Linked DNA regions of Arabidopsis thaliana. Each later gene encodes a partner of the first gene's protein in a complex. Each region holds a gene or a part of one and is shown in the gene's direction. Other genes may lie near its edges. The genes, in order: DPMS1 and DPMS2.

The links.
Region 2: DPMS1 (region 1) and DPMS2 share a complex: the UniProt entries of both Arabidopsis thaliana proteins name them as parts of the dolichol-phosphate mannose (DPM) synthase complex.

The regions. Positions count from the first base shown.
Region 1 is NC_003070.9:7,126,003-7,130,471, reverse strand, and holds DPMS1 (Nucleotide-diphospho-sugar transferases superfamily protein), read left to right. Parts: upstream 1-1,709; 5' UTR 1,710-1,794; coding exon 1,795-1,913; intron 1,914-2,338; coding exon 2,339-2,438; intron 2,439-2,532; coding exon 2,533-2,566; intron 2,567-2,647; coding exon 2,648-2,724; intron 2,725-2,800; coding exon 2,801-2,826; intron 2,827-2,916; coding exon 2,917-3,081; intron 3,082-3,168; coding exon 3,169-3,283; intron 3,284-3,380; coding exon 3,381-3,485; 3' UTR 3,486-3,725; downstream 3,726-4,469. Other genes in the region: AT1G20580 (Small nuclear ribonucleoprotein family protein), read right to left, coding at 101-163, 331-384, 481-547, 641-693, 1,335-1,493; AT1G20570 (Spc97 / Spc98 family of spindle pole body (SBP) component), read left to right, coding at 3,913-4,044, 4,123-4,383. UniProt on the Arabidopsis thaliana protein: Transfers mannose from GDP-mannose to dolichol monophosphate to form dolichol phosphate mannose (Dol-P-Man) which is the mannosyl donor in pathways leading to N-glycosylation, glycosyl phosphatidylinositol membrane anchoring, and O-mannosylation of proteins; catalytic subunit of the dolichol-phosphate mannose (DPM) synthase complex.
Region 2 is NC_003070.9:27,947,388-27,953,592, reverse strand, and holds DPMS2 (dolichol phosphate-mannose biosynthesis regulatory protein-like protein), read left to right. Parts: upstream 1-1,924; 5' UTR 1,925-2,028; intron 2,029-2,179; exon of another isoform or gene 2,180-2,309; coding exon of another isoform or gene 2,310-4,571; intron 4,572-4,574; exon of another isoform or gene 4,575-4,802; intron 4,803-4,921; 5' UTR 4,922-4,938; coding exon 4,939-5,028; intron 5,029-5,152; coding exon 5,153-5,305; 3' UTR 5,306-5,548; downstream 5,549-6,205. Other genes in the region: AT1G74350 (Intron maturase, type II family protein), read left to right, coding at 2,310-4,571. UniProt on the Arabidopsis thaliana protein: Regulates the biosynthesis of dolichol phosphate-mannose. Regulatory subunit of the dolichol-phosphate mannose (DPM) synthase complex; essential for the ER localization and stable expression of DPMS1.

The DNA.
Region 1 (4,469 bases):
TCTAAAGCATTAATGACAGAACCAAGAAAGGCGGCTTTCACCTGGATATCACAGAAAGACTATCCCAGAATCAAAGCTTACATGTTGAGCGTAAAATCAATCATCTCCTCACAGGTGGTACCGCTCCCCTTCCTCCAGTTCCACGCCCGGGCCCGGCAGCCGGCTTTAAGATAATATCACAAAGATTCAAGAATCTAACCATTAGTAGTGACAAAGAAGAAACAAACCATTAAGGGATAACAAGGATTTGAACATCTTAACAAGTTCCATAAAACTTCCTAACATTGCATTCATGAGCACTAAATCATAAGAGAGAGAGGGTGAACTTACTTTCCCTCGCATTGCACCTCTACCTCTGCCAACACCCAGTGATGAGCTCTTTCCCTACATTGATTAAGCAAGTAAGGTAAGATGTTTGTTGGAGATATGTATAGAGATCCTAATATCATTCTGCATCCAGGGTTCAAAAAGCATATATACCTTGATTCTAGCATCTAACCGCTTGAACATTGGAGCATGTTTGAGAATGTCTGGTATGACCATAAACCTGTCAAGATATATCCGCAGGTCAATTACTAAACAGCTAGGGTTAACAAGAATGATCCCATGAATTACATAAACAAGGAAACAAGTACAGCACCTGACTTTACTGCCTCGAATGAAGACATGCTCAAGCTGTGATACCTTACCATCCTGTAACACAGCATTGGAAAACCCAAAACAAAAGTTCAGTGACAATTAACAAACAAACCCATTAAGTTGACAGATTATTTATGTATACTATGAAGAATAACACTTAAAGAGTTAAGACTTTCTGAATTGAGAACTACATGTAGTTCTTTTCCCAATAATTACAGGTTGACTCAAAACCCATACGGCACAATAATCCGCAAATAAGAGGACGCTTTAAGACCTGCATACTTCAGATAATTCACATTTGACCACTGTATTCCTAAAGAGCAACTTAGGCTTTGGATAAAACGTTACAAAGCACAAACGTAGAACCTTTCTTCTCAGTTATTGATGTGTCCTATAGATCAATAATAAGTTTAACCAATCAGAGGAGACTATACCCTACAGTCAAAATTTATCTAATGTCACTGGCAGGATCACGCATTCTAGGGTTTTATACAGCATGAATTTCAAGGATTCTTAATCTCACTTAGAACTTAAAATAAGAAGCAATCTAAAATTTCCCAGCAAATTTGCCCAGCTCACCAAATCTAGGGTTTTAACAGCACTAACATCAAACAATGAAATTGAAACGAAACCTATGGTTCAAAAAACAGTCTCATATAAAATGAATCGAGATCTTCAGAGTATCAGTTGATTACCTTGGCGGTATAAGTAATATCCTCGAGCTGACAGTTCCAGTTATCCTCACACTCAATCATACTTCCTCTGTAAAGCTCGCCGCTCTTTAGCTCCACCGTCACGATATGACCTGAGGCCTCGTGAAGAAGCTTCACCGGTATTCCCAAACTTCGGCTCATCTTTCTCTCTACAAAACCCTAATTGAAAACCTTCTCCTTTAACTCTGCAACCTAGAAAGAAAAAAATGGCGGAAGGAAAGAAGAGCGACTCAGATGCGATTGACGAGTTTACCTCTTTTAAAGCTTTCCTGATTTATTTTTGGGCTTTATATAGGCCCATATTTATATTAGGCCCAATTTGAGAAACTTGCTTTTTAGTCCCTATATTTGACATTATTTTAATCCTTATTTTTGTACAGACGACGGCTGATTTCACGGGTTAAGACGAAGGAACCACCGTTACCAAAACTCGCCGGAAGAGATGGCGGACGAGATGGAGACCAAAGGAGAGAAGAAGTACAAGTATAGCATAATCATTCCTACCTACAACGAGCGCCTCAACATCGCTATCATAGTCTACCTGATTTTCAAGCATCTCCGGTAAATGAATATTTATTTCTTTTGGTCTTTTCACGTTCATTCTTTCATTTCAGAATCGGAATTACGTTTTTTGTTATTCTTTTACTGAATACTCGAACCTGATCGCCAATTTCAAGTTACGGATCTCGGAAATTTTCCGATCATGTTTCTGTAGATTGCAGATCCTAATTCGTGATTTGTTGTTTCTGTGCATGAGCTAGTAAAGGCCAATGTAGTGATCCCTCAAACTATATAGTAGTAGTTTCATGGTGTTTTAAAAACTTTGATTTAGTGATCGGAGAATAGTCAGAAGCTACATGTGCTAATCTTAGATCGATTCTGGTTATGGCTGCTTATATGAAATTAATATAGAATTGCACTTGTTAAGTAGACTCTTTGTTAACTGTTACTGAGAATTTGCTTCGCTACTTGTTTGTATGATTTAGGGACGTTGATTTTGAGATAATTGTTGTGGATGATGGGAGTCCTGATGGCACACAGGAAATTGTCAAGCAACTGCAGCAATTGTATGGTGAAGACCGTATCGTGAGTACAATGATGTGTTAAGACCTTAATTTGTAAATTATTGGGCGTTCTTCTGTTTAGGTGAAATCATGTTTTTATCTTTTTTATGATGCAGCTTTTAAGAGCTAGAGCCAAGAAGCTTGGTTTGGGTATGTAATTTGTATCTTCATTGTCTTCTAGTTTTGGTTAACAAGAAATGAAATTAATTTTCTTGGCATGGTCAATCTCAGGAACTGCATATATTCATGGTTTGAAGCATGCTACGGGTGATTTCGTCGTGATCATGGATGCTGATCTTTCACATCATGTAAGAGCCATTAATTTAGTTTTCTTGTTTACCTGTTTAATTGTTTAGCTAACCCAGTCACTTTTCTTCTGTGCAGCCAAAATACTTACCAAGTTTCATCAAGTAAGAAAAAGAAGAGTCTCTTGATCTCTTACTAGTTTCACAACCTATAGTGACTTCAACTGATTTGTTTTTTTTCTTATTATCATAAAGGAAACAACTAGAGACAAATGCAAGTATAGTAACTGGTACACGATATGTAAAAGGTGGTGGTGTACACGGGTGGAATCTTATGCGGAAACTCACTAGTAGAGGAGCAAATGTGCTAGCTCAAACACTTTTATGGCCTGGTGTATCTGATTTAACAGGATCATTCCGGTATAATTCAAATAACATATGCGCATATTTTTAACTGACATCATTTGATAGTATCATGTCTGACCTCCGCACCTCTTTGTTTGGAAGGCTATACAAGAAATCGGCGCTTGAAGACGTGATTAGCTCATGTGTGAGTAAAGGGTATGTCTTTCAGATGGAAATGATTGTTCGTGCAACCAGAAAAGGATACCATATTGAAGAGGTCTCTCTTTTTATACCAATTCACTGTGATTTTGATTCTTTCTAAACTATATTTCCATTCATATTCTTGATTCTCTGGTGCTCATCTTCATCTGCAGGTACCGATCACTTTTGTTGACAGAGTCTTTGGAACTTCGAAACTCGGAGGATCTGAAATAGTGGAATATCTAAAAGGCCTCGTCTATCTCCTGCTTACAACTTAAGACACACCAAGCAACTCAACAACACACGAGTCTCTCTTTATACTCTTCATTTGTTCCATTGCTTCATAGATTTCTCTTAACAGTTGAACTCTGATCATGTCGTTTAGAAACTTCACTTACTTTGACTTCAGAGAGTCGCATCTTTTAAGACTCAAAAGTTCATATTATAGACATTGTTGATTTTGAATGTTGAGTTGAGATATCTTACATTTCATAAATACCTTAACCAACCAACCAAAGAAGGTTTTATGTTTTAGATCGTTCGTAATGTGATAATCTTTGTCACTGCGACGGGCCTTTATAATTTGGGCCCATTTGAGACCTTTCTTCACTTGCTCTCACTCACTCTCTCTCAAATTCACCCACATCAAAGCTTCTCCGATTTCCCTCCGAACCAATTTGGTATGTGAAAATCAAATTCACAGTGATGTCTGAGTCGTTGCTTCGTATTGATCACGCCGGCTTAGACACCCTAATTCCGGGAATGATGTGCAGTCACAGAGTTTGGACACACTCAGAACTAGCTCCTCCTTCAGTGAGCGTGAATGAATCCCATCTGGTAATGCCACAAACACTACTCTTTTCAAATTCTTTTCGGCAAAGCAACTTAAACCCTTTTTCTCCGGAGGTTAATTAGGTGAAAGGTCTCTTACAAGCTTTGCAAGGTTTCTCTAGTCCCTTCATTTTCTGGGACCGAAAGGAACAAACTTTCCGCGCTAAAAGTGAGATACGAGTTTCTCATTTGTCTCAGTCAAGCCTTCATGTCCTTCTCGCTGGATTTTTGTATGCTGCTACATGTTTGAAGCTTGTGGAGTCTATTGTTAGTGGAATTAATGCCTCTCTTAAATCTCCTCCTACTTTAATGGCATTTTCGAACTCTGCCTCTGGTTGGCTTGAGGCAAGTAGTCCACAACTCCCTATTAGTTTTTTTATTTATTTATTTGGCTTGTTCTTGAATATTTGAGACTGATGTACAATTGGGTA
Region 2 (6,205 bases), about 21 Mb from region 1:
TCGCGAGGGCAACAATTAGGTGAGCAGTTGTGACATCTAAGTTGACCGGTCCAGAGTAGTTTGACTTCGTGTCAGAGTTGGTAAGTTTATGATAATAGATAAAACTTTTGCATAATGTAAATCTAAAAATTACGTTACATACAATATATGGTGAATGTGACTTATGTAGCATTAAAAGATATATTTGCTTCTCCAGAGATTTAAAAGTGTTATTTAACTAAGTTTTAGACGACTAAAGAGAAGAAATTGGCATCATTTTGAAATGTTCAAAAAATTAAAGATATTTTACTAAAAAGAGGTTAACAAAATATACATGTATATGGTGGGGTCCAATGTGATTCATATGGACGGCACTAGTTGACTTACTTCGTGCTTTGACCAATGTTTTTTTTTTAAATCATTGTTAATCATTAAATCTCATCTTATTCGTTTCTTTTGTTTGTTATTTATTTTCCCGTTATAAATATTTTTCTCTTACCTTTTTTTTTTCTTCGTGATAAGAGTCAAATGCGTGTATTATTTTACCTTGATTAGTCTAAGTATTCAATTAATTTTGAATTGAATAGTATAACACTTCGTGATAGACCATTGATATTTTTTTGAATTAGAAAATTCAGAGGCTACTATTCTCTTCCATAAAGAGAACAATATAAAAAAGGAATTATAGTTAATTGCTAAAATGATATTTTGTGTCATTAGAAACAAAATCTGCAAAAAGTAGTATTACTCAGAAACAAATCAAACTTTCAAAGTTGTTGATAGATGATATGCAACAAGATTTAGGATAATCATCTAATATTTTTTATCTTAAAAATAGTCTACTTATATGTTTATCAACTACAGTCATATTTCTATAACTTCAATTTTATTACTTTAAAGATACAGTAGTAGCTTCAAGCTTCAACTAATCATAGTAGGAAGTTGAATCACTCTCTTCTGCCACATATGTTTCAAGCATCCATGTTGTGTCTTCTGACACTAGAATGCATAATGATCAAAATTCTAAAAAAATCAAAGTGGTACCAATTTTAAAGTTATTAACTTCCACCAGTTGAAAAGAAAAAACTAAAGGAAACCTCCGATAAAAAAACAATGGTCCATTCAACAACACTAAGGACGTGTGAATGGTATTGAGCCAACATTGTTCATGCCAAAACAACTAAGGCAAACAACTAAGGCGACCAAACAAAAGAAAATTTTGCTATGAAATTTAAAAGTCCATGCCACTTGAAAGCCACGTCGTTTGTGCGTTTTGGTTTTTCTCTGCGTACCCATTTGTTGTTTTGATGTTTCCATTGGTCAAATTCAACATTATCACCTAAAATAACTTGCACATGCACGACACCAAATTAAATAGCTTTGGATCCAATAAGAGAAAGTATATATTGTAGGTACTAATATATCCACTCGCTCTAATCCGACCCAAACCCGAGTTCTTGAACCTTGAAACCTTTTAAACAATTAGAGGTTTAGGGGGTACGTAAACTTAAAACGTAGCTCAATATTAGATATTATTGTATTCGTGGGGGAATGAATATAAGCAAAGCATGAAGCAACGCATTTTACATATAAGAAAGTGTCAATTGATAGGAAACTGATAAACAATTGAACAAGTAGATGATGTCGGTCCACCGCGTAGGAAGAGCTGATCACTCATGTTTCTATCTTAATTATCAAACTGAATTAACGAATTTATTAATTTAATCATTTATCATTTAATGATATTTTTGTCTATATTTTTTCTTGCGCTTTCATGGTAAATGAAACTGCCTCATTGTTGCGTACTAAATTACCTGTAAGTCTGTTATAAAAAAAATGTTTAAAACATAAATATTCTACAACTAAAGGTGTCAAAATGTAATTTATAGAAGTAAGCAATAGTTTATGTTATTTCATAAATAGTCCCTCCTTCCTTCCTATTCTCAAGTCACGAGTTCTTCTTCTCAATCTCGAGTAATTCACTGTGCAAAGCAAGAGCTTCTTCGATTTCTATCTCTCAGACCAATCGTGCTTTTCGCATCCCTGAACGTAAGTTTCCTTCCATTTCTGTGTTGATTTAAGCAAAGAGATTGATAAAAACCTGATTCGTCCCGTTTCATTGTAGAAACTTTGTACTGGCTTAGTCGGGATATAATCGCATAGGTTTTAGAATTAGGAATCGGAATTTTAACTTGATGTTTAGGAAACGGAACCTAGTTTTAGATTTGTTGCGCCGATGTTACATAGAAACCCTAATCCCACGGGGCTTATGGAGTCGCACAATCTCCACGTTTCCCAAATCGGCTCTGCTTGCAACAGATAATGCAGAAATGGCTAGTAAGGAAACTGGAATGTTTTCACTAGCTGGGGAATTAGCTTCTCTTGTAGAAGAATCTTCTTCTCATGTTGATGATGATAGCAAACCTAGAAGTCGTATGGAACTAAAACGATCTCTTGAACTCCGGTTGAAGAAAAGAGTCAAAGAGCAGTGCATCAATGGGAAGTTTAGTGATCTGTTGAAGAAGGTGATTGCAAGGCCTGAAACTCTCCGGGATGCTTATGATTGTATTAGGCTTAACTCCAATGTTTCTATAACAGAAAGAAATGGTAGTGTCGCGTTTGATTCTATTGCAGAAGAGCTCTCTAGTGGGGTGTTTGATGTTGCTTCAAATACGTTTTCGATTGTGGCTAGAGATAAAACAAAAGAGGTCCTTGTCTTGCCTAGTGTAGCTCTTAAAGTTGTCCAAGAGGCTATCAGAATAGTTCTTGAAGTTGTTTTCAGTCCTCATTTTTCTAAGATTTCACATAGTTGTCGAAGCGGAAGGGGACGTGCCTCTGCATTGAAGTACATCAACAACAATATTTCTCGTTCGGATTGGTGTTTCACTTTGAGCCTGAACAAAAAACTTGATGTTTCTGTTTTCGAGAACTTGCTCTCTGTAATGGAGGAAAAAGTAGAAGACAGCAGTTTAAGCATCTTACTCCGTTCTATGTTTGAAGCCCGGGTGCTCAATCTCGAGTTCGGAGGATTTCCCAAGGGCCATGGTCTTCCACAAGAAGGGGTGTTGTCCCGTGTATTAATGAACATATATCTTGATCGGTTTGATCATGAATTTTATAGAATCTCAATGAGGCATGAAGCCCTTGGTCTTGATTCAAAGACTGATGAAGATAGCCCAGGCTCAAAACTTCGTTCCTGGTTTAGGAGGCAAGCCGGAGAACAAGGTTTGAAAAGTACTACAGAGCAGGACGTTGCACTCAGAGTTTATTGCTGCAGATTTATGGATGAGATATATTTCTCTGTGTCTGGTCCCAAGAAAGTTGCAAGTGATATCAGATCTGAAGCTATAGGTTTCTTACGGAACTCACTGCATTTGGACATCACAGATGAGACAGACCCGTCACCATGTGAAGCGACCAGTGGGCTTCGTGTTTTGGGTACCTTGGTTAGGAAAAATGTTAGGGAGAGTCCCACTGTCAAAGCTGTTCACAAGTTAAAGGAGAAGGTTAGGCTCTTTGCATTGCAGAAAGAAGAGGCTTGGACCTTAGGTACAGTTAGAATTGGAAAGAAATGGTTAGGACATGGATTGAAGAAAGTCAAAGAGTCAGAAATCAAAGGTTTGGCGGATAGTAACTCTACCTTGAGTCAAATATCTTGCCACAGAAAGGCAGGCATGGAAACAGATCATTGGTATAAGATCTTGCTTAGAATATGGATGGAGGACGTGCTAAGAACCTCTGCAGATAGAAGCGAGGAGTTTGTCTTGTCCAAGCATGTTGTAGAACCTACTGTTCCTCAAGAACTAAGAGATGCGTTTTACAAGTTCCAAAACGCTGCTGCGGCATATGTTTCATCAGAGACGGCTAATCTGGAAGCGCTTTTGCCATGTCCACAATCTCATGATAGACCTGTTTTCTTTGGTGATGTTGTCGCTCCGACTAATGCTATAGGAAGGCGTCTTTATCGCTACGGATTAATAACAGCCAAGGGTTATGCTCGTTCAAATTCTATGCTTATTTTGCTAGATACTGCCCAAATAATTGATTGGTATTCAGGACTTGTTCGGCGATGGGTGATTTGGTATGAAGGCTGTAGTAATTTTGATGAGATAAAGGCTCTTATTGATAATCAGATCAGAATGTCATGCATCCGTACTTTGGCAGCAAAATATCGAATACATGAAAATGAAATAGAGAAACGCCTTGATTTGGAACTGAGCACTATTCCCTCTGCTGAAGATATAGAACAGGAAATACAACATGAGAAACTAGATTCTCCTGCTTTTGACAGGGATGAACATCTAACATACGGCCTTTCCAATAGTGGTTTGTGTTTATTGTCTTTAGCTCGATTAGTGAGCGAATCAAGGCCTTGCAATTGCTTCGTAATTGGTTGTTCGATGGCTGCACCTGCTGTTTATACTTTACATGCAATGGAGAGACAGAAGTTTCCAGGTTGGAAAACTGGATTTTCTGTTTGTATTCCTTCTAGCTTAAATGGAAGGAGAATAGGGCTGTGTAAGCAACACCTCAAAGATCTGTATATAGGTCAAATATCACTTCAAGCTGTTGATTTTGGAGCCTGGAGATGATTACTACTCTCCACGACAAGAGTCTTGCAAGTGTTTGATTCTTCCTAGGTCAACTCTGATTCGTTTTAGGCAGTTGTTGAGCTTTGTGTATCTGATGTCTAGCAAATCATATGTCCGGTGATTATCGTTCTTCAAATGTTTTAATTTCTAGAGGCCTTGTGCAGTAGCACAGTTTGCATACCCTCAGAACATAAAACCATGGCATTAGCTGGTCTAATGGGAAAAGTCTAGGTGAAATGGTCTCATTGACATTCACAATATAACTTCCTTCACTTTTGACTGTATCTTCCAATGCTTAGCTTCTTGAATTTTTCTGATTTTTTTCTCACAATTGATTTGCGGTGCTGCAGGTTTTGAACTTGACAAAATGGAATTAGCGGATCGAGCAGTCGGGCTTCTACTATCTTCAATCAGCTTGTCCATATTCACGTACTATACTTTTTGGGTCATCATCCTGGTAAGTGACAACATCTCCCCCAAGTTCCTTAAAAAGACATTGTCAGTTTGATGTACCAATGTCATCTAATGTTTAGGATATTACTAGGAAAAAGCTGACATAATAGAATTTTCGTTTTGTACAGCCATTTGTAGATAGTGATCACTTCATCCACAAGTACTTCTTACCCCAAGACTATGCCATTCTCGTACCTGTCTTTGCCGGCATAGCTCTTCTCTCTCTCATTTCCGTATTCATCGGCATGGTCATGCTCAAATCCAAAAAGAAGAAGGCTTAATTTCATTCAACTCTTGCCGTAAGACAAAGTTCTGTCCTTGTTTCTTAAGTTGTCCCTACATTGTTTTGGTCTTTCAGAGGTTTAGTCCGGAAACTTTAAATGGGTGTCGTTGAACCGTACGAGACTATATCTTATTGACTCTAAATACATACACATGTTAAGCTCAAATAAATTCTTGAGAGAATATATACTAATGATGATGGATTTTAGGCTCCCTGACAATTCAACTAAAAAACTATTTACAGAATATACGAATGATTTAGATGAATGATGCATTTCACGAATATATATATTTGTTTCTTATTTTGTCTTTTGTGTATTCTCCATATGGCAGTTACTGATCTATTTTCTTTTCTGGTTTCGTCTTTTTTAGAGAGAAAAATAAATAAAATTGACTGATAGGAATTCAGTTTGTTAGCAATATAAGCACCTTAAATCATAATTAGTGCTTTTGAAAGTTGAGAAACAGATATATTATGAAAAATATCAGTAGTAGTAGTCATCATAGGCTAAGAGCTGGCAAAGCATTAGAGACACAAGTGAGTTTTCTCTTTGCAATTATTCTATGTCTGTAATGAATTTTGGTTTTGACTTATCTTATGAAATTTAATCATAGTTTTAGCTTTTTCTAATCTCATTAGCACTACTTAGTGCTTATGGATAAATCATTTCAAGTCATCTTCGTACAATTAATAAAATCAATAGCCCATTCACTTGTACTGTACTAGAGACCAAAACTTAATACATACAACCAAAAATCAATTTCCTTTTTTATTTTATTTTCCAACACGCTTTGAATTCTGTTCTACCACATTTGTATAGTCAATTCTTTATTTCAACAAAAAAGCTGTCATTAACTATTTGCTAAAATAGGTTTCAAAATTTTGGAAGGTGTAGATT